2 linked regions of the Stegostoma tigrinum genome follow. Each later gene encodes a partner of the first gene's protein in a complex. Links are inferred from orthologs where the notes say so. Each region holds a gene or a part of one and is shown on either strand. Other genes may lie near its edges. The genes, in order: troponin I, fast skeletal muscle-like; troponin C, skeletal muscle-like.

Region 1 (15,409 bases):
TATGTTAATTTATTGAATTAACAAAGACATGGGATTTCATTGTTATAAAGATGCAGCATTTTGCAAGTGCAAAAGTTAACTTCAGAAGGTGGAGAGGGAGGAAGAGGTGATGTTGATCTATAACTATATATGGATTTCCTTGTGATTGACTCATTAAGATTAAAAAAAAACATTCATGGATTGGCAATGCAGGCAAGGCCAGAATTTGTTGCCTCTTCAAAATGCCCTGGAGAAAGTGGAAACGATCTGACTTCTAAAATAAATTGCAATCTGTGGGATGTTGGTACATCCAAAGTTCTGTTAGAGACAGAATTCAAGCAATTTGATCCAATACTTGTCTTTAAGTGGCTAGTACGCAGGTATAAACTATCAAAGGGAGAAGTGAAATTTCAGCCATCATTTTCAGGAATGTTGTCTTACCTTCTCCTTCTCAGTGTCCTCTTTCTTCACTTGTTTCAGATTAGCTCTCAAGTCCATGGACACCTTGTGTTTGGAGCCCAGCAGAGCGCGTAGCATGGCATCAGCAGACATACGGACTCTCTTGAGTGGTGGCCTCTTGAATTTGCCTTTCAGGTCAAAAACTTTCAAGTTCAGGTCGTCAATCTGCAATATTGATGAGTTCCGAATAAATATTTACATAGTCCTCAAGCTCACCACTTCTCCATCTCTTGCCATACCTTTTTCTCCTTTAAGACAGTTCTTAGAACTGACTCAGAGATAGTGTGAACTGCTGATGCTGGAGAATCTGAGATAACAAGGTGGAGAGCTGGATGAACACAGCAGGCCAAGCAGCATCAGAGGAGCGGGAAGGCTGACCTTTCGGGCCGAGACCCTTCTTCGGAAGTCTGAAGAAGAAGGGTCAAAACCCGAAAAGTCAGCCTTCCCGCTCCTCTGATGCTGCTTGGCCTGCTGTGTTCATCCAGCTCTCACCTTGTTATCTTAAAACTGACTAGTTCTTTAACTAAGCTTTTAGTCACCTGTATCTCTCATGTGGCTTGCTTACCTCCTTTATTTTACAATGCTCCTGTGAAATGCTTTGAGACTTTTGTTATATTAAAGTCACTATGTAAAGACATAAGCTGTTGTTGTAAATGGATCAAACATATTATGGGATGCAAATAAGAGATGCTCCACAACCTTAGGATTTCCTTCATTCTCATTGTGTTGAACTTGGATTTGGAATGTCTTATTCATGCTTGAGGAGTTTCCACATCCCAATCCCAGTTTATTTCCTCTCATTATTTATGCAGGGTGAAGTCCTGATACAATTTGCAAAGTTTTCAAGAGTTAATCATAGTCAGAGCATTTAAAGGGAGAAGAAAATTCCTGATAATTTTCTAGAAAATGCTATAAAAGGAACATTCAGGGAGGGCAAGCCTGCTTAAAAAAAAACAACAAAGTTTAACACCTCTTATTGATTATTTCTTGATTTAGTTGTTGGTGCCATTCTGGAAACTTGCCTTTAAAATTTTTACATTAATCCACCATCAACATGCTTCCCAGTAGATGTCATAGAATTATAGAATTCCCACAATGTGGAAACAGACCATTGGGCCAAACAAGTCCACACCACCCCTCTGAAAAGCATCCTACCCAGACCCATTCCCATAGCCGTTCTCTGTGACCTGGCATTTCCTATGCTAATCCACCTAATTTACACACCCCTAGATGCTACCCTGCACATCGTTGGACCGTGGGAGGAAACCGGAGCACCCAGAAGAAACCTATGCTAAGTGTAACATCTTCCCATATCCAAGTATAACATTTTCCTTCAATAGACCCTTACAAACTTTGGTACTCAAAGATGATAATATTAATCAAGAATACAATAAAACAAGCTTAGTTTTCTGTTACTTCATACCAAAGAATTCTCCTATACAATATGGAAATTGTTGCTCTATTCTGCTTAGAGAAAATGCAATGTTGATCCTGTTCTAAAGAATGCAACTTAGTTTTTCATTGATCACACTCAGTATTCTATTTATTCACCACAGAACTTCATTGATTTTTATCAAGTGGATGCTTGAGTAAAGATAATAAACAAAAATCGATTATGTATTGTAAGAAAACAACTGACTTTGTCACAATCATTTGAAACTTTCTCATGGGCATTGTGAATATTTTGCTGCACTACTATAATGCATTCATCATCCCTGTATCCTTGTGGAAGTGATTATGTTAAAAAATGAGAGAAAAGTGGAAATACCAGAACTACGTCTGTCTCTGTGCTGTGGTCATTTTACTTCAGTGAGCAAGTTTGATACCATTTTTCCTCAATTCATAGTTGCAAACAAGTATTCTGCTTTGCATAGTGTAGAAATTGGAACATGTTGTGCTTATTGCATGTACCATAAATGTAAAACATGCTAATTTAGCAGTGCAAGCAATTGCAACCAATCATTGTATCCTTTTTATAAGCAGAAAGCTACCTAAAATGGGAGCTTGATGCTGTGAATATGAAAGTGAATAGTGTAACACATACTGAAAGGCCCAGATACAAAATTTGTTGACTGCTTGAGGAGCGTTTGTTGGGTGTGTCCTGTCTAGGATTTTCCAGTGGCCAAGGTCATTGCCAACTGAAGTAAATTTTAACCTCCTATTCTAATACAGATTGTACCTACCTAATCTCACACTCTCTGGTGCAGCAAGTTCTGGGATCCAGCACCTGCAGTAATTCCAGTTTTCTAAACAAAACACATTTTGCAGTGCAGCAAGGAAGATTTCCCTGCATTTAACTGTTGAAAGGTAGTTTAAAGAGCAATATGCAGGAGTTCTCAGCTTTGATCACCTCTCCCTCATCTTCACAGATTTATACCTTGCACAAGTCAGTACTTTCAGCACTGTAGAAGAGGGTCAGGAGTAGAGAAAGAATTTGTTTAATAACACCCGTGCTAACCCTGACATATCACCTTCTGTAGTCTGACAAAATACACTGTCTAATAACGATTTGCTCCCAATACTACTGGATTAGGGAGGTATGAACTGTAGTCTGTTACATGAAACAAAGAGAAGCAGAGTGCCACTCCACCACTTTTGCACATCCCTTCCACAACTCCACCACTCCACAATCCTTGTATTGGGCCTGCATCCTCATTATTGCCTGTTATAATCAGGTACACCATTTTTCTAGTGGAGTACGCTTCCTCTGGAGGCAAGTATGGAATTAATGCCCAAACGGCACGGTGATAAAGGTTGATTCCCTAGGCCTGAACATTTACTTTGTTTGATTGTCTCTGGGCACAGGATTGCCCAGGTTGCATCTTACACTGGGATTGGGGAGCAGCAAAAGAGTGAAGCTGCAGGGCCCAAAGACTAGCAGTAACTACATGAACATTTACGACCAATAATTGTAAAAAAAGGAGGCTGGAATAAGCCATGTAGTCCATGAAGCCTCCTTCATCATTCAGTAAGATCTTGGCTGATCTGACTGTGGTCTTAACTCCACTTGCCTGCCTGTGACTCATAAACCTCACTCACTTGCTGATCAAAGATTTGTCAAGCTTGGTCATGTACATATTAAGTGGGAAACAGAATTCCAAAAATTAATGACTCTTTAACAGAAGAAACACCTCCTCATGTCAGTTTGAAATGAGATACTGCTTACTCTTAAACTGTGCCCTTTAGTTCTAAATTCTTGAGAATTTTCATTTCTGTTGGAAGTTATTGAATGCTCAGACTACCTGGTTCTTTTTTCAGTGTTCTACACATACAGAGAACCTCTAAATTGCTTAGATATTTGCTGCAAACCTATCTACACAGCTCTTGGAGGATCTCTTGGGTGTCCCTTAGGTGAAATTGGAAATGCTGCCAACTGCTTCTCTTACAATTTTGTATTAGGCCAACATCTATTACACAAATATTGTGTTTTACAGAAGTTTAAGGAATCAACAAATTTTTACTCAGATTAATTTGATGGGGTTATACCCATGACTAAGTTAATCAGCCATTGCTTTGTGGATGAACAAACTGCTGAATGAGCATTTCTCATTTCACACTTTCTCATGTTATGTTCTATTAACAAGATTTAAGCAAAATTGTTTAATGTGAATAATGCAGATTAGGGCTATGAATCACTTGGCACTTCTGCGGAGAAGAAGATGGGATGCGGTGTAAAATGAGCTGCTAATTTATTATTAGTTCATTTCACAACTTCAAAGCCCTCACCAGTGATTACTTCATGATTGTCATCCATAAGTTGATTTCTTTTTGTCTCCTCAATTCTGCCCTTGTTCCCAATATAAATGCTTTACGTTACCGCTCATTCATATGTTGCAGCAACGTGGGTACAGGTTTAAGTGTCAAAGGACATTATATTGCTTAGTGCTTTGTATCAATCTAAAATGTTTCTCCAAAAAAGAACAAACGATGGTGAGGGTGCTTGTGAGGGGTATTTAAAAAGGTGACATTACCTCTTTGGTGGTCTTAGCAACTTTGGATTCCATGTCATATCTCTCCTCATCAACAACATCTATCTTTGCATGAAGTTTCCTGCACAAGTCCTGTTGAGACAGACGTGAGAAAGTTCAACATTGCAATAACACTGGCTCTTTTGTTTCATTGTGCTATTGCAGTGTGGTTTTAAGCTCACTCATTTCATAACTGGGATCGACAAAAGGCCTTTTGGGAATTACATTGGGTGGACCAATAAGTTCAGATCGGAAGAAATAATTGATTGCCAAGTGGTATTAAAGAGCTGGAAGAGTCAATGAGATGTCAGCACGAAGGAGATGAACCATTGGGCCTCAATTTCCTTGGGAGTACTGCTGCGTCATTGTCGTTTTATCAAAAGCGGTCCAGAAACTCTGTTTGCACTAAATTCCCAGCTAAGGTACAGAAGGGGAAGGTTTTTTTGAAAAGGCTTATTCAAAATATATGCTTTAACTGAAATAGGTTCTCAAGGCAGTTCCCACAAAGGGAAATGAAAATGTCTGCTTCTACCAATAAAGCAGCCTTTTCCTCTGGGTCCTCCTGCAGAACAGAATAAAATCCCTACAATATCGATTGGAGTCATTTGGCCCCTTGAGTCTCCATGAGAATCGCACCCTATCCCTGTAATCCCTCATTTTTGCCGTGGATAACACATTTAGTCTGCACATGCCTGGACACTACAGAGCAATTTAGCATGGCCAATTCACCTAAACTGCACATTTTTGGACTGTGGGAGGAAATCCATGCAGACACAGGAGAACATACAAACGCTACCCAGTCACCCATGATTGGAATCAAACCCATGTTCCTGGCACTGTGAGGCAATTGTGCTAACCACTGAGCCACCGTGCCGCACTGATAGTGATAGTGAGTAGACAGTGAGACCTTGGAAGCGGACCTACTTTTCCAACTATGGTGTGGGCTGTTCAATGAGAGATGCGTTATAAGAGAGAAAATATGGAAAAAAAAGAAAATTTCTTGTGGTTGAGATTTGTGAATTACTGTATTAAATTTTACAAATTAGATCATTTGGTTGTTAAAGACAACATGGATTTGAGTGCATGTGAACACAAAAATCACCATCATAAAATATATTTGTTTAGCAAGTCATGGGTTTGGGACTGTATTCAAGTGATATAATTGATAATTAAAACAGTATTTCCCATTTTCTTGGTGAAAGTACAGATAATTGCCCAGACTGTTAATGGAAAACATTCCGCTATGTTGACTTGGCCAAAGAATTTTGTCCATGTTCCCTAATTGCAGATAATTCAACTCTACAATCTAACAAGGAGAAACATAGATGGATTTTTCAGAAAATGATTTTGTATTAACCTGCAGCTCTGCCATTGAAAGCCCAGAAGTCTGCAGATGTCCACAATGTTCTTCCATATACCTCTCCTTCTCTGCTACCCGATCTGCTTCTTCCTTCTCAAGTGCAGCTTTGGCAAGGGACAGCAGTAAACTCTAAAATACATAAGAAATGCAAGTTATATGAGAAACTATTTAGACATTTCACATTATACTCAGGATAAAGAAAATGCATAATAGGCTGAAAAGTTACCTTCAGATGCATTCTGCGAGAAGAGGTCATCTTGGATTTTTTCTGTCATGATCAAGGAACAGAAAAAAGGGAGAAGGATCGGAAAGTAAGTTAAAAACAGATTATTTCAAATGGTTGGCAGAACAAAGGGACATGCTATTAGTGTGAAGTCTCTTACAGTCAAACAAATCATCTCAGAATTGCATTCCAACAAACCATTTTCCAACAAAACTACACTATTTTAAAAGCCAGGCTTCATGTGACTCAACCACTGGACTTATTCCATCTTTCTCCCCAAAAAGAAACTGAATAGTGATGCCTTGAAGACAGCAGGGATGGCCTAGGTCCAATGTGTCAGTTTCCTGGTATTATCCCATTCTGGGTCATTTTCCCAGAGATATGTTTGGGGACATAGCCTAGGCTGGGCTACACACTGACAGGCATCCCATAGGCAATTCTCCCCCTCAGCATTAGAGCGAGGTGGAAGGGCCAGGACTATGCATACAAGCCACTGGCCTCACTGTGGAGGCAATGTTCCTTCAGAATGGTGACCCATTCTGAAAGTATATAAATATTTTAATTGTTAAAATAATGAAAAGAGGCACCTCCTGTCATACTTATCTAACAAGACAATCTACTGCTTGATCAGTGCAAAAGACCCTCCCCAAGCGCTCAAGCTTCATTAGACTGCACCATTCTTAGGTACATAGCAAACCTCCTCATTGGTCAGTTTGAGCAAGACTACAACTTGCCATATACAGCGCAGGCTTCTGATAGGACAGTCTTGAATCCTACAGATAAATCTGCTCTTTAACAAAGATCTATACTATTAAGGTAATAAAATGTGAGGCTGGATGAACACAGCAGGCCAAGCAGCATCTCAGGAGCACAAAAGCTGACGTTTCAGGCCTAGACCCTTCATCAGATGATGAAGGGTCTAGGCCCGAAACGTCAGCTTTTGTGCTCCTGAGATGCTGCTTGGCCTGCTGTGTTCATCCAGCCTCACATTTTATTATCTTGGAATCTCCAGCATCTGCAGTTCCCATTATCTCTTATACTATTAAGGTTACCATTTAACGAATAATACTTTACTGTTTAAAAATATTGCTCTGCCGTATATTCTCATGATTATCCGTGAAGTTTTAGTTGTTCAAACCCAACCAATTTGTCTTTCACCACCATTGAAGAGGCTGTTACACTTTCAGTCAGTTCAATTTAGATGTTAATGTAATTAACTTGAGTTCAAATGTTTCCATGGCAATTTAAATTCAGTTTGAAAATAGTCAAAAAAAAATAAAAATAATGACAGTCTTGCATATCCAAGCCTATGGGATGTGGCTTACTGGTCAGCTCTGTGTTAAGCATCACCCAGTGTGATTCACGAGTACCATTGGCTGCCTATGCTACATTTAACACGAGTGAATGCAGTAGGTTCAGTCAGTTGAGATCTTTTTCTTGCCTCTTTCAATGTCCTTCTGGCTAGTAAGCCTCAAGGTTCACAGCGACCATTGTCTCTGTCATTGTCCATGTTCACTATTATCATATCTTTCCTGCAGGGTTTGTTGCAGTGGAGGTATGGACTTCCAGCAGGTATTGACACAGTGACCAGTTTACCATCCAGTATGGCTTTGGACATACATCTACTATCCAACTAATGAAACTGGCCCAGCCGGCACAGATATTGTTGATCCAGTGATGAGCAAATGCTTTGGAATAAACATATACCAGGACTGCTGGGTTGGTGCCCCCCCTGCGAAAATATGCCACGGTTATGCCTGAGAAAGCAAATGTGGGTGCTGCTCAGTGTTTTCATGTGCATGGCATGAGTTGTTCAGGTTTCACGTCGAAGCGGGGTAAGGTGAGAAGACTGGCTCAGTAAACCTGCAGTTTACTGTGCTCAGTCAGCTTGCTGCTGTTCCATACTCTGACTCCACTTCAATAGAACAGTTACAGCTTTCATGAGGAGTGTGTTGACTTCAGCATCGAGTGACAGATTGTTGGGGATTGTGGAGGCTGGATATGTGAAACTGTCAACAACCTCCGGGGTCACATTGTGAATACAGCTGATGAATGATGTTATGGTAAAATTCCGGACTATGACATGTATCTTGCTGATGTTAATGGTCAAGCGAAATTCTTTAGCGGTTTTAAGTGCTCTGTCCATTTGCCACTGAAGCTGTTTCTTGATATGAAATTGTCGATCAGCATAGGATAAATCTCTGCTTTGGGCATGACAGCCCCTTTCCTCGGATTTCAGATGGGCAAAGCCGAACAGTTTTACATCTGTTTTGCGATGTAAGTGCAAGCTGTTAGTAAATGATCACAACGCATATGACTGCAGTAGTATGAGGACACAACACTGTTTGACCCACTGCAAATCTCAAAGGTTTCCAGTGTGACCCTTCAGAGTTAAGTGAACCTTACTCCTCATATTCTCATCGAAAAGAAGATATTATAGTCAGCAAACTTAAGTGGCAGCCAATTTTCTCCAGCAGCCGAACTATGTAATCAGTACTCCCTTGGGTGAAAGTCTTGGCAAGGTTAATGAAGGAAATGTATAATGCTTTCCTTTGTTCATGGCATTGTTCTCACAGCCACTGGATGGAGAAGATCATATTGATTATAGATTTTACAGAACTGAAATGACACAGGAATTTGGGATAGATGCATTCAACCAGGATCTGTAGTCTGGCAAGGGCAACATGGGCAAATACTTTTCCCAGACTGCTTAGCAGGGAGCTGCTTCGATGGTTATAATCACTGCATTCACCCATGTTCTTGTGCAGGATCACAAACTTAGCTTCATGTACACATGGAATAACTACATCCTCCCTCAAGCAAGGACACATTCATGCTTGATGAGTTCAAGCAGTATTGTGCCATTACATGCAGTTTTTCGATGACAAATGAGTCAAAATCTTCGCTAAGTACATTCACTGTGGGTTTAGCATACAGCTGTTGCATGATGGACAGACTGTCTATGGCTTACAAGATCTCCCTGATGATGGTGATTTACCTGGAGTACAACTAAAGGCAGTGTTTCACCCATCTCTCCATTGATTTGTTGTAATCAGTGCTGTCCTTCTCTATCTTTGGTTTTCATTAAACCATTTTCTTGGCTCATGGGCCTATTGTATTTTTGATTCCTTCCTACATACCCCGGCACTCCCTGTATTGGAACAGGATCCAGTTTGGAACATTGTCAAAGTGGTAAGCAGTAGTGATCGACAGTAGTAATCTAGAAGTCTATTGGACTTCACTTCAATCAGCCTGGAGTAGCCAGTCTTCTTGTCTGAATTTCATTTGTAATTTCTGAGAATAGATCACCTGACTTCAAAGATTCCGTATGTAAATCAACATTTTAAGATAGCTTTACTGTCAAATTGTTTCTCCTGCAGAGGTGAGGAATGTCATTCTGAAGCTGGGATTAAAGCGTTAATTATAAATTGGCTTCCACTTTTCGACTAAACCTCACTATTAAGTGTTGTCTTCAGGTAAAGAGCGTTGAAAAATTGAGACAAAAATAATTTGTCAGACAAAATAGGGTTGAATCAGTTTACATAATGATAGAATTTATATGTATTGTCTTGGGAGCCTGAGTAGACTATAAGTTCAGGCCATTCATATCACTTCTATCAAAATTCAAGTATGAAGAGGTTAAATGAGCACCAAAAAGAGGATCAAATTTTAAGACAATTCTGCACTGAATGATTACTGAGCTGTGCTGTACCTACTGAAACATAAAGAAAGCAGTTAAATAATATTTTAACTAATAATGAACTGCTGAGATGTGATACAGCTTGTGTCATCACCAAACAATGGATGATTCTATCTTAACATCGCCTGATGATAAAATACCTAAGAATAAAAACAAAATTGCTGGAAAAGCACACAGGCCTGGCAGCATCTGTGAAGGAAAATACAGAGTTAAAGTTTCGGGCCCGATGACCCTTCCTCAGAACTGATAGGATAGCTAAGACTGATCACTGATCTTAACAATTGGCAATTTACTGAATCATAGTCACTTTGCAATCAGCAATCTGAATTTAAATGTAATGTGACCAATGTGATGATAGCAGCATGTTGAGTGTCCGGAAGATACCCTTTTTGCAACCAGCAAACAAAGGGGAAACTGCTTGAGAAATGGTACAATATTTTTGAGACCAAAGGAAAAATAAATGTGTATCAACTGAATACAAAAGCTTTATTTAATACTTCCAAGTGTCGTGGAAGTTGTGCATCTAACCTGAGGTAAACTCCAGAGAACTGGCGACAGCAATAAAACAGGGCCTCTGTTATCTTGCAATTCTCACTTTGTTTAAAATAAGGCAGATTAAGAATCTTCATTCTAGTTACAGATTTTTTTCTCTGATGGCTGGGAAGAATTTGCATAGCCTCATGACTTGAAAGCAATGATTGTTGGTTATATGGTTGAGGCCCAGTCTGTTCTTCCAGGAATTATTCAGAGAATAGATACGCACACATTATATAACAAGTGATTTATAAGGATTACCACATGTGCCCTTCTATTGCACTTAGTGCCTGCTTCTGTTAAACAGCCTATGTAACTTGGCCTACCACCTTTAGAGATTTAAAGATATGATTCCCTGCCATGGGTTCCTGCACGCTGCTTTAAAATTTGGCATTTAATTGTAACACTGAAGCACTGAGCTCAAGTAAGATAATTATTGCCCTCATATCGCAGTCTCTTGACAAGAAACAGAAAATGTAATTGCAGATTAACAGACTCTCCGTCATCATGTTGTGGATTCTAATTTCATAGCCTACCAAATTTTATTCTTTTTGCCTGTCAAGTAACTGAGGTTTCCCATTGCACAGTGCCTGAGTATCAGTCACCATCTTCAACAGAAAGGAAGAAATAAATGCAGCAAGAACCAGTCCTTCATTTCAAATGTTCATGAAAGCCAGCCTGATGAAAGATCATCAAACTGAAATGGCTCTCCTTCCACCGATGCTGCCAGAGCTGCTAAGTATCCCTAGTATTTTCAATTCTTACTTCAGATTTCTAGCATTCGTTATATTTCACTTATGCACTCTATGTCCCTCGTAATTCATCAGCTTCATTTGCACTATCATCACCATCTTCAGCAGCAAAGTCACTTGACTTAATCTGTACATTGTATAGCTCTACACGCAGCCCAGCTTTGGAAGGATGATCTTTATAATTGGTCTCATGGGTCAAGTGCAGAAAGCACAACCATTTCCCATGCTCACTATTGTGGTAATTTACTACGACAAAAGAAAAGTGCTTTGCTTGTTCACACAGATAGTATTAGATTTCCCAGATATTTTAATGACAGCATTACTCTATTAGAGCAGAGAGCACTATTTTGAAATGATTTGGACAGCACAATGAATGGAAGCTTTGAGTTATGAAAAAGATTACATTCATTCCAGAAGTATCAAACAGCCACAAACACTTTGCAATGGGATTAGCACCCAACATCTTACCTCGTCACTGTAAAGGAAAAGAACAACTCATTAGAATCTGCACAAAGTTCAAATTCTCCACATTTCATTGATTATCACCTCAAAGATATCAGGTGCCAGAAATGTATAACTTTAGCTAGAGATTAAATATAGTTTTACAGCTCTTACATTACAGAAACAGATTATTTGATCTGACTGGTTGTTACGCTGTACCCGAGTCTCTTGCCAACCTGCTTTGTATAACAATACCACCCTATCCTTCTATTGATTTCCCTCCTCACATAATTACCTAACTTCCCCTTACTCAAATCAATGCACTTGCTCATAATTTTCCACATTTGTACCATCTTTGGACAAAGAACTTGCTCCTGAATTTCCTACTGAAACTAATTGCAACTATTTTACGTTTATGACTTCCATTTTTGCTTTCTGCACAAACAGAAACATTTTACCTCCCTTTTTATTATCTTAAGTGCCTTCTCTCAGATTTCTATTTTCTAGAAAAAAGAAGCCCCAGCTTGTTGAACCTTTTTTGCTGTTTATATCTTCTCAGTTCTGGTACCATTCCCAAGGATTTTTTTTGCACCTTTTCCAATATATCTAAATAATGCAGATACTAGAATTTTGCTCAGTTCTCTACATTAATCTAATTATATTTCAAAACAAGGATAACAAACCTACTTTTGTCAGTTCTATTCCTCTGGAAAAGAATGCAAATGCATGGTTTCCTTTTCTGTAGCCTTAATAAAATGTTACTTCATTTATAAATTTGTGTATTTGTACTTCCAAAATCCTTCTGATCCACTATCCTGTTCAGATTTTCATTAAATCCCAATTTAAACAACAAAGGCCCTGGATTTTGAATGAGTTAAAATCTGGCCTAATGCAAGCAGCATGTGGTCTGTTTATTCCTCCTGTTAATCTGAACTGAACATGTGTCAATTTTGAAATTAATTTCTCAGTTTTATTTCTGTTATACCAGAAATAGTACAAACTAAAAACAATTTTTTAAACAACAGGTAATACTCACTCTCCCATTTTGATGGTTGTGTTTTATGACCTGTTAATAAAAAAATAAAATTACCAACTTAGTCATTTAACTTCATGTAGCTATTTTACTGATAATGATTGATCCATATATCCTCAATGATAATATTCCTATACAAAGATGCTATTGTTGGTGTTGCAGAGATACTCAATTAATCAATGTGGAGATGGAAAAGAAGATCTCAACGTTGAAGTATTGGCTGACTTGTAACACTTCTCAAAATCTGACCCAAGAGGGAAAGATGAGCTGTGTAGAAACTATATCCTGAAGAATGGGAGGCATTTGAAAATTAATTTGAGAAAGTGTTTCTAAATTTGGTCAGTGTACCAAGGGGAACAGGTGCACGTCAATGAGATCCTTAGGGCCAGTCATTTCTCAATCTCACACAGCCTAAAGCCAGTTGAAAGTGAAAAATACTAGTGTGCAGGAAAAATGCTGAAGAAACCAAGCTTTCACTTTGCAAAAGCTGGAGAACGTCTCCAAACTTTTACTCCCCTGCTTCTACTGATGAAAACAATTAACCAGTAAAGAAAAATGCAAACCTTAACTTTGAAATTGTGAAATTATGATGTTCTTATGTAAAATTATTAAAGTGTTGTCATTCTTTAACATCCTTTGTTGTATGTAATAATTATTAAAAACAACAACATGCTTAATTGGACATATTCTTGTGAGAGAGATTATTTTGAATAGTTTCAAAAAAAAGTTTACATATCAAATAACATTTAATTTGTAAAGAAAAATATTAAATCACAACCACAGACTCAATTTTGTTTTATTTTCTGCACAAATGGTCACAATTACATTTTAAATACTTTTGAAAAACCTTTAAATCAAAATACAAGGGCTTTCAATCATAAAATGTGGGCAACAGGTTGAAAATATTAATATATGGCTAAACAGGCAATTATTAAGGGGATATAGGAAGTAATAGCAAATCAAAATTAAAGCTCACCTGGGACACAGAAGCCGAACAGAGGGCAGTGAGACTAGAGAGCTGAGGTGAAGTCTGGTAAGCCACAGACAGTTTTCAAAAGCAAGCAGTATAAATTGCTTTCTGTGATGGGTCAGCAAAACACGACTTTCTCTTTATGGCAATGAGTTCTCCTTAGACCAATCGACTCCAGTCTCCAGAAATACCCGAGCTGTGTGTTTAGAGTATAAATAAATCAGCTGCAAGACAATTTCAAGGAACCATTGAGCTGCAGAGACCCTTTAAAATTGTCTGTGATAAGTTTCACCCTTCTGAAGGATACTTGATTAATCAAGATGAATAAACTGATATTTCACTGTCCAAACTAACGGTTTTAGTCCTGCATGAACTCAGTTAATGCATCAGCAAGCAATTGATGTATTTGAATTTAAATTTCCTTTTATCACAAAAGTTAAGTATTCAGGAAGACCATAAAACCATTAGGTATTGGATAATGTCATATTGCCCATCAAGTCTGCTCTGCCGTTCAGTCGTGTCTAATATTTTTCTTAACCCCTTTCTCCTGCCTTCTCCCTGTAGCCTTTGATTCCGCCCTACTAATCAAGAACCTACCTCTCTCTGTCTTAAACACATTCAGTGACTTGTTCTCCATAGCCTTCTGTGGCAAGGAGTTAAACAGATTCAACACCTTCTGGCTGAAGAAATTCCTCCTCATTTCAGCAGTAAAGAATTGTCCCTTCATTCTGAGGCTGTGTCCTTGGATCCTTTATCTCTCCTACTAGTGGAAACATATTCTGCACACCCACTTTATCTAGGCCCTTCAGTATTCTGAGAGTTTCAATGAGACTCGCCTCTCATCTTTCAAATCTCCAATGAGATCAGAACCAGAATCCTCAACTGCTCTTCATATGAAAAGGAGAAATAGAGGGAAGGAAATAGAACTAATCATTTTCTGAGGATGTTAACTGCAGTGATATTGTCCCATTTGTTGCAAAGTAGGTTCCACCTCACAGCAATGCAAAAATAGGTAAGATACTTTTAGAAAGAGATTCAAACCTGAGAGATCTTGTGGGTGCTGTATCTTTTGGGCGTGATACCACATGAAGCAGAAACTCAATGCATATTAAGTAGATTTTAGAAGTGTTTGTGAGCTCTGTGAAGCCTCAATATTTTGTAAACTTAAGCCTAACCTTCACCTTGTATCTCTGGAGGGGTTGCTGGAATTTTGGTGCAAGGTCAAGAGGACCCCAGAGAAATGGAGTAAATAGCTGACAATGATCATCTTGATCAATGATCAATGCCATTTTACTGGAGTTCTGTTGATCTTCTGACAGATCTACAGTGTGAGAAGAAAACAAGGAAATCATTCTGTTTCCGTAAAGATTCAACTCTGCACATTTACAACATTGCACTAGCAGCTCTCAAAGTAAGTTGATTACAAAGGGTGCTGTGTCAATACTATACTAGCAAGCATTTGCAGTGACCTCTACTGACACTCAGACCTAGAGGGAGGCAGCTGTGGAGTGCTATTAAAGTTGTTACTGATCTCAAACAGGCAGCACAGCATAACCACAAACTTACATAGTCACAAAATGTAAAGGTTGAATGTTAGAAAGCTGAATAACTGAAATGAAAAAAAGGTCTTCACTTAAAATATAATATTGATCCTCAACTTTCCAGATACTGTTGTACTACTGTGAATATTTTGTTTACATTTATTACCATTTGATGTCTTTTGAGGCTCTGACAAACAAAATTATTTTATTGCATTTGAAGAAATTTCATTGCCTCGTGTAACATTTGTACAGTTAGCATGCCTGCTTTTGTAGAAGTGATTCTCCTGTTGGGATTCTCCTGATATATAAATTAGGATAGATTTTAATTAAAAATTACATCTGAGTTGTATGATTACAACATGCTGTGAACTCAGACATGGCACAAACCTGCATGCTTCAGAGTTACTTATGGCCAGGCATGTTGACATTGTATGATCGCTGCTTACAAA
Region 2 (16,150 bases), on another chromosome or scaffold:
ACCATTGCTAGTGATCATGAATACAGAACTAAATCACCGGAGGCAATCCGGTAACACGAGGGATGTTGTGAATATATTTACACGAAGATTTATCTCAAAGCCAAGGAGATACCATTCACAGTTTACACTGCATTCCTGTATACGTTTTTTGCTGTAGATTTGTACTTTTATGTTCATATTTCGGATATATTAATGATGATTCCGTATACATTTCGCTTTCTAGACAGCTCAATGGACTGCATGTTTTAATTTGGCTGTGTCGCGGATACTCACGTGGCTAGTTTAATACTGAAGATGTGAACTTTTCTGTATCCTTTCTCCGTCTTTTCGTACGGATCTGCTGAAGACGCTGACAACGACTCCAATATTAGAGAAACTAACAGCTTTGGCTCCCAACAACAGAACGGTCTGAGGAAGGGTCACCGGACCCGATACGTTAACTCTGTTTTCTCCTCCACAGACGCTGCCAGACCTGCTGAGCTTTTCCAGCAGCTTTGTTTTTGAACAGAAAGGTTTTGCTTCATCCTGAAAAGACCTTGTTTTTCCCACCTGTAAACGAACCGGTCAGACCAAACAGGCAAACCGTAAGAACTCTAGGAAGTATTGTAGAGGAAAGAAAAAGTGATGTCGAACGATGTTTCCCAGCACATTTGAAGAAATATTGAGAAAGTGATGGTACCAGGTAATTTACACAAGACTTATCCCTTCCCTGAACACGGCGGGCTCTCGGCTGCCGAGTTGTCTCTAGAAACCTCAGTAATCAGCGAAGCAAGCCAGATGTCCTGAAGACTCTCCATCTTCGGTCCGCCTCCCCCTCTCTCCCTATTTATTCCAGAACCCTCTCCCCATCCCCCTATCTGATGAAGGGTCCAGGCCCGAAACGTCAGCTTTTGTGCTCCTGAGATGCTGCTTGGTCTGCTGTGTTCATCCAGCCTCACACTTTATTATCTCAGATTCTCCAGCATCTGCAGTTCCCATTATCTCTGATACTATTTTAACCTCACTGCGAAGCCTCTTCCAGGGATGCCTAAACTGAAGAAGTTACCCTCCTCCGTCCGGACCAACCTCAGGGAATCTCTCTCCCATTGCAACTCTCTTGTAATCTCTTCGGCCTTGAAACTGCTAGACCATGTCCTGAAGACTCTCCATCTTCGGTCCACCTCCCCCTCTCTCCCTATTTATTCCAGTTCCCTCTCCCCATCCCCCTCTCTGTTGAAGGGTCTAGGCCCGAAACGTCAGCTTTTGTGCTCCTGAGATGCTGCTTGGCCTGCTGTGTTCATCCAGCCTCACATTTTATTATCCCAAGCCAGTGAACATTTCATGTTCTGAGCCGGTTTGGAGAAGTTTGAAACTTTTTTGTTATTAGGCAAAGCCATTTGACTAAATCTACAAATATTCAAAGTCCTGGCAACATTTAAGAAAGCCAGAAAGCATAAATTAGTACAACTACGATTAGTTGTGAGGCCACTAGTGAAAGGCTTATATGAGGAATAAGAGATAACAAGGCATAGAGCTGGAGGAACACAGCAGGCCAAGCAGCATCAGAGGAGCAGGAAAGCTGACGTTTCGGGTCTGGACCATCAGATAAAAATATGAGGAATAAGTCGTTCTGTTTTGCCCAAAGTTACCTCTTACAAGGCACTCACCGCAAAGAAGAACTATCAGCAACAAAGACACCAGATCAGAGTTAGTGGTGGAAAACGGAGTCACATCGTCAATTAAATTTGCTATACAAGATCATTCACATTAAAGTGTGTGAATGAAAACAAAATACTTCCAATGTTGGAAATCTGAAATAAAAACAGACCCATTAGAGTTTCTCGGTGCCAAAGGAGAATTATTAGACTCAAAAAGTCAATTCTGTTCTTCTCTCTCCATAGACGGTGACAGATGTACTGAGTTTCTCCAGCATTTTCTGTCATCATTACATTAAAATGTGGCTTCTAACTCCCAAGACACACACAAAAAAAGCTTAATTCCAGAATCTTGAGCGTATATCCTTTGTTCGCCCAAGCAGTATTCAACTGGGTGTGGCATCAAGGGAACTGAATTCAACTCTCTGTTGGTTGTAGCTATGCCCAGCTCAAAGGAAGATGGTTGTAGTTTTGGGGGTATCTTAATAGAAGGACGTTATCCTGATGAAGGAGAGCAATATCCCAGGTCACATTATATTCAGCTGCTTCATCAATGACCTTTCCTCAATCATAAGGTTAGAGATGGGATGATGATTGTACAGTTATAATTTCCATGTACAACTCTTCAAATACTGAAGCAATTGATGATCACATGCAACAATTATTGTTGTGGCACATTACAATTGCACCACACAGTTGTCAGGTAATGAGTCAACCCTTGATGTGTAATGGTATTACTGTTACTGAGTCCCCAACTATTAATATTCTGAGGTCGCCATTCACTAAACAAGTCTCTAGCCTTTACATACATTATTTGTCTACAAAAGTAGAGCAGAGGCTGAAAATTCTGTGGCAGGAAACCCACCTTCTCTCATTTTCTGATTTTCCAGAGCTATTCCATGACTTAGAAGGCACAGTCTCGGATGGTAATGGTGTATTCTTCATACGTCTTGATTTAAAAAAAAACACTCAAGAAGGCAGACAATTAAAAGCAGTCCACATGATGAACACTCCATTCACCATTGTATACATTCACTCTAAGCCTCTTCTAGTGCTGTGGCAGTGTTCCTACCTCTGGGTCAGGAAGTATGGGTTCAAGTCCTATCTGCAGCAGAGGTGTGTCATAACTTGCTTGAACAGGATAATTCAATATATCAACACATCCACTCACTGCTTTTGTCACTGACACATTAGCAGCGGTCTATATCATCTACCTGACACACTGTAGCAACATCACTGGAGGAAGGGGAGGATGGTCTTCCCTAAATATCCTCATCCCCAATGTTTGGGAGCCCAGCACATCAGTACAAATGACAAGGCTGAAGCATTTATATTTATCTTGAACTAGAAAACCGAGTTCACAATCCATCTCAGCATCTTCCTGTGGTCACCTTCATGTGATATCAAAAAATAGTTGAAGGCACTGACAACATTCTAGCAATAGAACTGAAGTGTTCTTCAAAATTAGCCACTCATTCAGTGAAGTTATTCCAGTCCAGCTACAACACTAACATCTACTCCACAGTGTGAAAAATAGCCTAAGTATGTCTGCTACATAAAAAGCTGGATAGTTCCAATACAGCCAAACATAACCTATCAGTCTACTCTTAATCATGAGAAAGTTGATGGAAGCTGTCATCAACAGTGTTGTATAATAGCACTTTCTCAATAATAACTTTGGATTTTATTAGATCTTCTCAGATCCTAACATCAATACAGCCTTGGTCCAAATATGAACAAAAGTTAAAATTAAGGAGAGAACTGACAGTGATTACTTTGACATGAAGGCAGCATTTAAGCAAGTGTTGCATCATGAAGCCCTAGCAAATCTGAAGTCAATGGGAATTAGGGAGCATGGCAGGGGCCAGCAACTACTATTTGGAGCCATACTTGGCACAAAAGGAAGATGGTTGTGCTTGTTGGAGGTCAATCATTGATGAACGAAGCTCCAACAACACTCAAGAACCTCAACAATCGAGGACATTGTAGTCCACTTGATTATCACTGTGTCCAACAACTTCAACATTCATTCCTTTCACTACTAATGTATAGTGGCAGCAGTGTGTACCATCTACAAGATGCACTTCAACAACTCATCAAAGCTCCCTGGGCAGCATCTTCCACAGTTCTGTCCTCTATCATCTAGAAGTCCAAGGGCAGCAGATACAGGGGTGAGGGGAGTGCCACTATCTGCATCATCTTGACTTGGAAACATATAACTGTTTCTTCACTATTGCTGGCTCAAAATCTTGAACTCCTCCCCAAAAAGATCTATTAGTTGTACCTGCACTACATGGATTGCAACAGTTCAAGGAGGCAACTCACTGTCACCTTCTGATGGGGCAATCAGGGATGTTCTCTCGTGCTGGCCTAGCTAGCAACACCTATATCCCATGAATCAGTTTAGAAAAAAAAACTATCACAGCTCGCTCAACAACATTTTCCAAACCCATCACTTCTACTACTACAAGAACAAGAAGCATATGAGAATACCACAACATGCAGGTTGTATTCTCAGCCATGCACGATATTGATGTGTAAATATCTCACTGTTATTTTACTAATCTTCACTCAAGGGCCTGGGACTATCTTCCTAAGGGTACATGGATTTAGCTAAACCACAGGTACTTTGATATTCAAAAAGGAACTGCTCACCTTTGTCTTCTCAACCACAATTCAGGATGGGTAAAAATGCTGAACTTGCTATAAATGCTCACATCCCATGAATAAATAAAATAAAATAAGATGTTTAATGATGTGTTTTATATAACATAACTTGTTCTTATCTTTTTGTTGTAAATTTTTTGAATGCAACATAGGTACCTTTGAAAAAAAAAGATACATGAACTGAACTTTGTGAATGTGGCTGAGAAAAGCAGGCATTGATCTCCTTCACTGTTCATGGCCCAGCTGTCATCAACCATCACACTGTCAGCAGTGAATTCCCTTTCACTCACCGCCTGTCCTCTCAAACATTCCGGACTTATCTCCTTTGAAAAGTATCTCTAAAATGCATGGCAGCTGCTTGTAACAAGAAACCAGGCTTGAAAATTGACTTTAGTTCCTGATATCTTGTTCACACATGAAAGTACTGGATCAATAAATACATAAATTGTAATCTAATTTGATTAAACTAAAGACTAAATTTCCTGTCTTAGGATGAAAGTCAAGATATTGTTTGTTCACTTATTATCGTTTTGTGTGCTAAGTGGTAAAGTTATGGCAATATTCTGCAGAAAGATTATTTTGTTTGTTATGCAGAAATGTTTGAGTTGACATCTGTCTAATGTAAAGATTGAGACTCAAGAGTGGGAACAACCTGATTACTCTTGTTCTGCGTTGGCTGTAATGTAATGTTATTTTAAAAATCAGACCACAAGTACAATTATAATTGTTTTGATGCATATACAATCACACCATTAGTAGGAAAATTCAGGTATGCAGCCAAAAAAAAGCCATACAAACGTAGCAGCAAATATATATATACAAACATGTTGGAAAATGCAAATACACCTGTACTGGCATACATGTCATAGACAAATACAAGCATATAATTAAGGAATAATAACAAGTAAAAATTCACACAAAAATACAAAATAACCTGCAATATCAAATACAAGCAAACAGGTCATAGGCAATTAGCAGTATAGCCAAAGACAGAAAGTAGTATGCATGTCATAATCGAATACATGTGCACACCACTGAAAAACATAGGTACCACCTCAATATTAATACAAATATACCCATCACATCACATCTATAGATCCCATAACTGGCAGATCTGGGAACATAATTTATTACAAGAAATACAGGAACCCATTACAGACAAATATAGATCAGACTATAATGAACATTAGGGGTACACATGTCATGCATAAATACAGGTTTACCCTGTCACAAATAAAACAGACATACCCATCACAAACATGTACCTGTGTCAAAGACAAATACTTATATATACATCACAGAAATATACAGGTAGACTTGCAGTTAGCAAATGTAGGTATATCTATCACAGCCAAATACAGGTACACCTGTAAAGACATGAAACAAAAAACAACATAGACATACACAGGTACACTAGCCATAGAGAAGTAAAATTATGCTAATCTTAGAGAGGTAACGTATACCCAAAATCAGACAAACACAGTTTACAGATAACAGAAAAAAAGATATATTCTTCCACATAAAATTATTAAAACTGTCCATTACAGGTATGCACTGAAATCCTTATTACTTACAATTACAAATATACCTGTCACTATCTAATGCAGAAAAAATCTTCACAGCCAGATATAGTTAGTTATATTTGCCACACATAGGGGAGGCAATGGCCTAGTGGTATTATCGCTAGATTGTTAATTCAGAGATTTAGATAATGTTCTGGGGACTTGGATTTGAATCTCGCCACAGCAGATGGTGGAAATTGAATTCAATAAATATCTGGAATTAAGAAACTAATGATGACTGTGAATCCATTGAAAGAAAACCCCTTGGTTCACCAACGTCTTTTAGGGAAGGAAACTGCAATCCTTACCTGGACTTGCCTGCACATGACTCCAGACCCACAGCAATGTAGGTGACTCTTACCAGCCCTCTGGGCAATTAGGAATTGGCAATAAATGCTGCCTAGCCAGTGACGCCCTCATTCCATGAATGAACAAAAGCTCAAGGGCAGGTATATTCCTAATAAAAATGTGCAAATAAACTCCTCAAAGACAAGTTTAGGCATAAGTATCATATATCAAACAGATATACCCTTATAAGACATTCCCAGCAATATACAGATATGCAATGGATAAATATAAGTTTGCCCATCATAGAAGAAAAGATAGGATACACCAAATATATACAAATACACCCGTAATGGGATCATTTCTATCTGAGAGACTGTTGGTGATTTCTTCATTTGGATTTGAAAATGTCAATGCACAAAATGCAAAAATGATACAATTATCTAAGATTTCTTCTGATCTTTTAAACAGTTAATAAAAGTGTGGGCATGTATGTGAAGGGACATGAACTACTGATTGAAATGAAATAAACAGTATTGAAATTTAAAGAATTGAGTCGATATCTTGTAAGAAAAATGTGTTCAATATAAAGACAGACTTTGGCTTGGTTCTGAAACATAAAATGATAATGTGTAAAATAAATACGAGCAACATTTTTACCAATCATATGATGGGCATGCTATACTTAACCACCACAACTGCCATTTCCCCAACTGCCCTCCCCGACTCCTCCACACAAACAAAAAATTACATTTCACCCAACATGTCTGACAGTTTGAATTTTCAGTACTATTCTGTGGAAAACCTCATTGCTTTGGTGTTAGCTCAGCTTCAGTTTGTCGCACATTCACCTTTGCATCAAAGGTTCAAGGTTCAGATCTCATTTCAGATCCTTAATATAAAACACAAAATCAATTTGATACCCCAGAGCAATGTTTGGGAGGTGGTGACGGGGTTGCTTTCTTTCAGATGAGATTCTACACTGAGAATCTGGCTGCCACCTCTAGTGAATGTATAACACCCTACTGGAAACAAAAACAGAAGTTTCTGGAAAAGCTCAGCAGGTCTGGCAGCATCTGTGAAGAGAAATCAGAGCTAACATTTGGGCCTGGTGACCCTATTGCTGTTTTGACACCATCACCTTAATAAGTTGTTATGTTCTCTCTACCTTAATTATTCTGTACAGTTTTGGATTACTTATTAATTTGGTTACACCCGCGGCATGCAACTCTTATACCTATCATGTTTTTCCAGTCATTTGGTTTGTCTCCAGCACCACCTGATATTAATTTTTTTTTGTAATTATATCTCTGCCTCATTTAATTGGATTATAAGTCATCCCTTCACTTATTATTCAGCTGCTGACACATTACTCAGACTGTCTGACACTTTTGATCATCTGCAGAGACTTATTACTCGAGCCTCCACTCATGCCATTTATATGATTATTTGATCTCTCCACCCTCGATCTCTCTGCCTATAAATTCTGTGACTGTGTGCTACTCTCTCACATCACCTGATGAAGGGGCTAGGCTCTGAAAGCTTGTGATTTCAACCTGGTGTAGTGTGACTTCTGACTGTTGTTGTGAAGAGCAGGGGAATTAGCTCCAGTAAATAAAAACCAAAAAAAACCCTGTGGATCCCATAAATCAGAAATGAAAAGTGAAATTGCTGCATAAACTCAGCAGGTCTGGCAGCATCTGTGAAGAGAAATCAGAGTTAACGTTTCGGGTCTGATGACCTTTCTGAGGAATGGCCTAAAATTGATTTCTCTTCACAAATACTGCCAGATCTGCTAAGCTTTTCCAGAAATTTCTGTTTTTGTTTGTGATTTGTTCCAGTAGCCTTATTCCACTATCAATATCACTATCTTCTTGTTTGTGGGATTTCTACAAGCTGATAGCCACTTTCCCAAATTACAACACTAACTGTGCTTCCAAAGTACAGTGCATCAATATATTTTGCGAAGTCAAGCAATGTGCTGTATGGATGCAAATGCTACGTTTATTGGTTGAAGGCAAATACAGCAATATAGCAAATGATTATTTAAACGTCGCCATTAAGGTGCCTTTCCAGCTCCGACGTGGCATTTTCATAGGATTGGACTTGTTCCAATCTCGCTTACTCACCCTGAATTCCATGCTGAGGAAGAATTGGGCTTCGTTTGCATTTGGATACTGTTTGGCTCGTTTTGAATCTGATGACTGATTTGATTTGTTAAACAGGCCGATTTCGTGACAGCAGGACCTGAAACTCATTCCAATTGTCCAAACATTTGGCCAGAGCCGCTCAGAATTCCTAGCAGTTCCTGGCTTCCAGCAGCCACAGCATTTTGACTTTACGTAATCGCAGGGATTCCTATTAAAATTCTTTCAACTGTTAAACGCAGCCATAGACGGCCGCTGCATGGGTATGAACGATCCAACAGAAAAGTAAAGGTTTAACCTGGAATGGCCCCTAGAAAAGGACTCTCTCCAGCTTTCAAAATTGTTATTGGAATAAAAAGATCGAAGTGTCGATTTGCCCATTCAAACACTGCTACTTCCAGGATTTAGTTACGGGAAGAAAAGCCTATCATTGAGATATCTGGTTCAAACACCAGCGATTGATCCGGGACACTGTTGATCTCGGGGCCCGAAGTGGGGTCGATCTTTGTACATGACCAAGATACTGAGTCATTTCAGGATGAGTACAGTGCTCCACGTGGCCCCGAGAATAGCTATTATCATCAAATGTTTTGTAGTTAAATAATGACGGGCAGTTAACGAACAAACTGGATCTATCGCATACCTGAGGGGCCTCGATCAGTCCCTTTATATAGCTTGTTTCGGACAGAGCCCACCCTCGCCCGGTTGTAAAAAGAGGACACGTGCCCACCTCGCAATCTCACTATTGGTTTTTCTACAAGCCAGGTCAGAGATGCTGAAATCTCACTGGATATTCGGCCAATTAAAGAAAGAGGGCAAGTTAAAAGCTGAGGAGAAAAAAGATTAGCTTTCTAGTAGGAGTTGTGGAGGAGAGGCGTTTCAATTTAACCTGAGTTTCTGTGGCGCCCTAATAAGCCAGGACAATGGTAAGCATACACATTAAATTCATGTTTCCAATGTGTTGTTTCATTAATTCCAGCGTCATGCTGATATCATCCCGCTTCGCTCCTGTAGCGCATATAATAAGATAGAGTAAGATATATATATATATTTAAATCGGCGAACAGTGTCTCCGTGCACAATTCGAGATGTCCAATTTCTTTTTTTAAAGTTCAACAGCTACTTTAAAATAAAAGGTGGAAAGTACATTATAGCCAAACGAAGCAAAACAAAAAGTAACGGTACACGGTACTTGGTGTCGCGCGTCTTCAACAACAAAACCATATTACCTGCTAGCGAGTTCCGGAAAACCAGCAAATGCGGAAACAGCAGGGACTCACGGCGAGAATTCAACAAAGTAGCCTGGATATTGCTATGGGGTTTTGTTTTAGAGGTGGAAAAACAATACCTTGCAATTGGACATAGTCATGATATAAAATGTTTGCAAAGGGAAGAAAATGCACAATGTGCCTTCCACCTTTTTCTTTAAAAAATACATTAAAAATTCAGAGATGTAGCTATCTGGTATAAAAAAGGGAAATTTATTTTAAGGATATGCTTTTGCTAACATCATTTGACAGCTATAGCGTGAAAACGCCAGGTGCCACCAGAGTAAACAAAATAAACCTTCAGATTAGTACAACTCGCGAATCAACGTTGCTACTGTCGACGCCTTAACTGCCACAAACAAAAATAAACAAGCAAAATGATGTTACAAAGTAAGAGATCGCTTCCCGTTTTTGTTTGTTTCTCTCTGTGAATTTCTCCGTGAATTGTGAGCACGGTTCCTCAAGAGCTCTCGCCGACCTCTAGTACCTGCAAGAGGGAACGAAACGGATAAAAAGCGGAAGATTCGCGTTATAAATAGAGTGAAAGGGGGTCTTCTTCACTTACGAGGCACATTCCTGTGGCTAAAGTTTCTGGATTAAGGCCGTCGCTCATCAGGGAGCTCCGAGTTTTCCGCCTTCTCGACCTTTAATGGGCTGGCGGATTTGGAAATGCTTGCAGCAAAGCACGAGGAGAAACGCGGACACACGTTCCCAGGTTACACACGTATGTGTTTCAACGGAGCGTGTGCAGAGTCACCCGGAGCTCTCAAACTCCCGGGAATAATTCCGAACAAACTGTCGCCGACTTTAGATGACAAGGCGCGTGCACTACTCCGACTAAAAACTGTTGACAATCGCCTTTATTTGTATTAGAGGGGAAAGTAGAATGCGCAGTGAAATGATTATTTGCATCGTGGTGTTTGGTTGTTTCTGTTTAATGAGTTCAGTCAGATATTTGAACCACTCACTGTGACAGTGTATCGAGTGAACCGAAGAGTACAGCCAAGCCATCTCAACTTGCTGATGTCTTCAAACTCCACACTCTCTCCTGGCTAATTTAAACCTCTGACAGGAGGAGTCTTCAGACAAGACTGATTTCCCCATTTTGGGAAGAACCCCTTCAAGCAGTTAAAAATATCTCATCTTCTGTTCCATCATAAGATCTCTCGTCTATGCCAATCACTTACCTTCTCTCCGTGGTACCTACTGCCACCCACTGATTCCTCAAATCTGGTCTGTATCTAATTGGAGACATTTAGTTTTTGATCCGTTCACCTCAATCATAAAAACGGGGCACGTTAAACAAACGCCGTGCGTTCGTTTAAACATAGAATTTTAAACGAGACCTTTTTTAAAAAAAATTCTCTCGTCCAATATTCTGGGAGTTCTGGCTTTAAAATTTTACATGGCAGTTAAGCATTCCAAATGAGCTACATGTGGTTTGCAAAACGTTAACCAATTTCAAATGTTCTGCATCTCACAGTCACAAAGATTTTTTCGATATAAACCTGCAGACGAGCGAAACTTGATTCAACTGTTCAACGCGATACTCAACAGTAATTTTGACAACTCGCCAATGGGCGAGGAACCCGCACAATCAGGCGAGACTCGAGTTGTAAGTCTCGCCCAATATTCCTCTCCATTTATACCAATAGAACGGAACTGGTGGTGCGTAAAATCGGCGTTCCACCGGATCTGGTCAGTTTCCGAAGAATAAGTTAAAATCACACCAGCCACCATCCCGCAGCCCCCGCCGCCCCCATTGGATGATCCCGATGTTTTCCGTTTCACCTTTTACTTCCTGAACATTTTCTTTTGCGCTCTCAGCAAAATTCTTCTCCCTCCCCTCAACAACCCCACCCCCCCTTCCTATCTTACCGCAATCTGATTTGCTGTTGGAGAAAGCCGACGTCGGCTGGATTCCCGAGGTAAATTTACAGACCAAGTGGCATCCATACTGTCGCCACCGCTGAAGTCAGGAGTATAGGTTGTCCAAAAAAAAAGCCGAGGTAAGAACCGTTCGTTTCAATCCGTGTACGTCGAAATCAGTCGAGTTAGGGTGGGAATAAAGTGGCACAGGAACTCAAATGCGCACCGTTCTTTCTGCCTTTTGAGGCTATTTGCATTGTACTTCACTGCGGAGCACATCATTCTCCTGCAGCTAGCTAAGTCATTGCACATCTCTAACATGTTCTGTCTATTTGAAATCAGTGCCAAGAAGTGGCAAGCCTTGCAAAGTTCTACTTCAGTCGTAGTGCAGATCGTTTCTGTGAATGTGCGTTATAACTGGTGTGAATTGAGCGAAGATGAAGCTGAGCTACTCCACTGCTTGAGATACATTGGGTTTCAGTGCCGACTCGAGAAGCCCCCACCTGCCCGTTACTCCAACTATGACTTTGCTTCAAGACAGAACTTTTCCAACCCATTTCAATTCGGCCACCGTCTTGAAATCCGAGTTGAAAGAAGCGGATATGTGATATAATCATTTTGCTTTGTTTGTTTAGAATTGGAGACCCGAGACGAGGTAAACATGAGAGGATGAAACGAAAATGCTCAAATGTTCTGATATCATTTATTCACCCCATTTCTCTTCTGGCAGTAATTCATTTCTTCGAATTCGTTGTTTTCCCAAATGAACTGTTAACGCGCTTTAAGGTGAGGTTTCAAGCGTGAGATCGTAGGCACGCCCCCCCCCCCCCCCCCAGTGCTGAAAGAAAATCGTGGATTTTGACCCATTCACATGGAACTGTTGCAAGTCGGGTACTGTTTGAAGGGGACTTTGCATGTGGTGCTGCCATGTATTTGCTGCCCTCGTTCTTCTATGTGGTAGAGGTCATGAATTTGGAAAGTGCTGCTGGTGAGATCATGAAGTGCATTTTGAAGATGGTACCCTTTGCTGCCAGTGTGTATTGATGGTGACAGTGGTAGATGTGGTGACTCTCTGGTTTCTTTGCCTTAGATGGTGTCAAGCTTCTTGGTGGAGCTGCACTCATCCAGGCCAAAGTAGAGTATTCCATCATACTCCTGACCTATAAATAATAAAGGGAGTTTTGGGAAGATGGAATGTGAATTAATCACTGCAGAGTTCCAAGCTAACTTGACTTGACCCAGAGCATACTTGGCTAATCTAGCTCAGCTTCTGGTCACTGGTAACTCTTTGGATGTTGATACTGGTGAATTCAGTGATGGTTATTCCATTAAAAATCCAGAAGTTATGATTAGATTCCGTCTTATTGGAGATTGTAATTGCTGGCACATTTGTGGTGTAAATGTTATCTGCCACTTCATCAGCTGAAGTTGGACTGTTGTCCAGATGTTGCTGCATATGGACACAGACTGCTTCAGTATCTGAGAAGTTGAGATGCAGACCTAACTGAATGAAGGCCTGTAAGGTGCCCCACTGTTTTTTATAATTCAATTATTCAACACATTCACTGCCTTTTTTACCCTTCCTTAACAATGACCACTTGCTGTTCTTGATGTTAAACATGATTGGAATTTCCCCTTTCTTGTGCACTTTACATTGTGCATAAATTGGAGAATCAGTCCATTCATTTTTGAGCGGTTAGACAAAATTGTCACGGCATAGTGCACCTCAAAAAGGTACTACAAGATTGTCTGGGTTTATATTTCGACAACCTATTGCCCACAAGCAGCAATGTTAAAAGTAGGTAGTAAGGGATCAAATCCTTACCACTAACTAAATTGACGAAAGAATGAATGCGGTCATTCTTTTGCATGGGTGAACACAGTAGAGTTACTAGTGACAACAGACACAGTTCAGTTTCATAGATGCCATGGCTCTTGCTGCAGCAAGTGACTCAAGTCCTAACTCCGCAAAGCCTTTCCACTACATAGGAAAGAAGAGTGTGATGGTATATTTTTCGCTTGCTTGGATGAATGTTACTATAATACTCTCTCTATTGCGTACACTGTAGACACTCATATTGTCTCCTAAACCTGCAACTTGTACTAGCCAGAAGGGTAGCAACAACAATTACATGGACGCAGTATCACATCCAAATCATGCCATTCTAATTTAGACATATAACATTGGTCCTTCATTATTGGCAGGTAAATGAGCAGAAATCACCTACATAACAACACTATGGAAATGCACTCAGCCAAAGAACATTATCTTTTCATATGCAACTAGGGCTGGGCAATGAAATCTAATGTGTCTGGAAATACACATATTACCTAAAATGACTATTTAAATCTAATTACTGGAGGTGATGTAACATAAAGCTGTCAGTTAAACTCCTGTATTATCTTTATTTATCTTTTCATTCGGCTTTTTGACCTGAAATTCAACAAGGATGGGAACAGTTTGGATTATGCTGGAATTAAGCCAGCATAATGTAATACATAGCAGCTGGCTGTGTCAGAAGATTGCCTAAAGGAGAGAAAGAGAAGTTTGAGACCTTTAAAAGGTTACAAGATGCAACTTAATGACCTGTGCTAAATTTAGTAGTAACCTTTTAAGATTGCTCTGTTGGAATAACTATTTATAGAAAGATAGTCTCTTTGACTCTGGTTATACAGTACATAAGCAAATGAGAGTAGGCTACTAGTTCAATGGATCAGGGTTATTATTGCTACTAAGCCTTAATAACACTGTCTTATCAATTGGAAAGCTGGTTCTAGGCTCTAGATTTTGTACAAGTTGGGATCATTGGCACCACGGTGCAATCATAAATCATGTGAGTGAGTTTAGAATTTTTAGGAGACAAGACAGAATTATTTCTTAAAGTAATATAGCTGGGAATTATAAAGCAGTTGAGGAGCATTGCAAGATCTGGCCAAGAGCAATGCATCTGATTCAAATATCATGACAACAAGGCTTTTGCTGGCCTTCATCAATGTGCCCAACAGCTATGGCTGTAGCTTGCTTTGACCCTAGACTTATTTTCACTTTTGTAAACCTGTGTGTCAAGCTGATAGGAATTTCACTGATATAATCACATTTATAAACAGAATATCAACCTTTTGCTTCTGTGCCTGTTGGGAAAGATATTATTAACGTGGAGTGAGTGCTGAAGAGGTTTACCAGGATGTTGCCGGGTATGGAAAGTTTGAGTACTAAATAAAGGCTGGATAGATTGGGACCTTTGTCTGGAGCGTAGGATGTTGATAGGTGGCCTTACAGAAGTTTATAAAATCATGAGGGGTATAGGGAGGGTTAATAGTCAGTGCCTTTTCCCCAGGATGGGGTATTTTGAGACTAGGGAGCATATTTTTAAGGTGAGTGCAGAGAGATTTTAAAAAGATATGATGGGCATTTTTTTTACTCAGAGGGTGGTTAGCATGTGGTGTGAATTTCCAGAGGAAGTGGTGGATGTTGACACAATTACAATATTTAAATGACATTTGGATAAGTTTTGGAGGATATAGACCAGGAGCAGGCAGGTGGGACTAGTTTAGTTTGGGATTATGTTCAACATGGACTGCTTGGACTGTCCATGCTGTATGACACTGACTTTATGATTCTCTGTTCTTTCTGAATGGCTTGGTGATGAGCTGCATATCCATACTAGATTTAGATACAAAAGTCAGTTTCTGTTTTCATTTTGGAGTTGACAGCTGTGAAGAGCATTAGCATCATTTCATCCCAATTCTTAAACCTGTTTCTTGCTTGAAGTACTTCTCAATATAATATCAAGATAATTAACACATAGAAAGGATCTCCCAGTTCTGAAATAAAAGATTTCCTTTTCTTTCATCCACTTTTTTCCCTATTTTTAATGTTCTGATTTTAGGTATGACCACTGCCTAGACAGGAAACCTAACTTTAAGAGTTACATTTTAAGAGGTCTTAAGGGCCAACCTTGATAATTCTCAGCTTGCTTTGAATATGGACAACATTGCTTGGTTGAGCTTGTCAAGCATCATTCCAATAATAATAAGGAAAGAAAATTAAAAACTATCCACTTCAGAAGAAACTAAAGCATTTAAGTTTATGTAAAGTGGAAAATGAATGAGAAGGCTACAACATAAGACTACATCATATTGGGGAATGGGCTAACACTGTAAACATCAGACCTCGATGAAAGTAACATCATCCCTGGGTACAGAAACTTCCAAGTTGATCTCGGTCAGTCTTCCTGCTTGTTAGCCTGAGTAACATCCTGGTTTTGGCTGAGATATTTGCTAGGGTTCAAAACTGCCTTGAAGTACAAAAATGTCGACCATAAGTCAGAGATGTAGTTGAAAAGTTTCCTTTAAGACTTTCTTGGGACCAATTAGACATGACCAGTCTCAAGGACACTCAGTTCCCAAGAAAGATTGTGTTTTAAAAGAAAACACAAGTTAGATGGTGAAAATAGGAGGACGTTTGACTCTGACTAAATTTTAGTCGGGAATTGCATTCTGTCAAAGGATATGTGATGGCTAGTTCTCCCATCATGAATTAACTGGATAGTATAGATTGCAGTCTGGATGGGAAACTATAGTTTGAATACTTTAAGGGGTTCACCTTGCTTCCAAATAGCTACTCTTGGTTAACATTATCTAACTAAGGAAGACAAGAAGAGCAATACTTCCAACAAGTGGGCATTATGCTGTGTTTATCTAAATGCTGTCCCAGC

The links.
Region 2: the proteins of troponin I, fast skeletal muscle-like (region 1) and troponin C, skeletal muscle-like are in contact, whole or in part, in a crystal structure (PDB 1A2X), measured with the Oryctolagus cuniculus proteins. The link is inferred for Stegostoma tigrinum from reciprocal best matches to the Homo sapiens genes TNNI2 and TNNC2. Residues at the interface, in NP_001076252.1 of Oryctolagus cuniculus: Glu5, Asn8, Arg9, Ile11, Thr12, Arg14, Arg15, Gln16, His17, Leu18, Lys19, Ser20, Val21, Met22, Leu23, Ile25, Ala26, Glu29, Leu30, Glu33; in NP_001076114.1 of Oryctolagus cuniculus: Ser13, Glu15, Met16, Ala18, Glu19, Ala22, Lys91, Leu96, Glu98, Cys99, Arg101, Ile102, Phe103, Arg105, Ile119, Phe120, Ala122, Ser123, Glu125, His126, Val127, Glu131, Ser134, Leu135, Asp138, Phe152, Met155, Met156, Val159, Gln160.

What each region holds. Positions count from the first base shown.
Region 1 is NC_081370.1:22,090,827-22,106,235, forward strand, and holds the start of troponin I, fast skeletal muscle-like, read right to left. Parts: upstream 6,129-15,409; 5' UTR 6,023-6,128; coding exon 5,993-6,022; intron 5,896-5,992; coding exon 5,764-5,895; intron 4,500-5,763; coding exon 4,410-4,499; intron 604-4,409; coding exon 421-603; intron 1-420. UniProt on the Homo sapiens protein: Troponin I is the inhibitory subunit of troponin, the thin filament regulatory complex which confers calcium-sensitivity to striated muscle actomyosin ATPase activity.
Region 2 is NC_081372.1:51,799,699-51,815,848, forward strand, and holds the start of troponin C, skeletal muscle-like, read left to right. Parts: upstream 1-9,112; 5' UTR 9,113-9,218; coding exon 9,219-9,221; intron 9,222-11,494; exon of another isoform or gene 11,495-11,572; intron 11,573-16,150. UniProt on the Homo sapiens protein: Troponin is the central regulatory protein of striated muscle contraction. Tn consists of three components: Tn-I which is the inhibitor of actomyosin ATPase, Tn-T which contains the binding site for tropomyosin and Tn-C.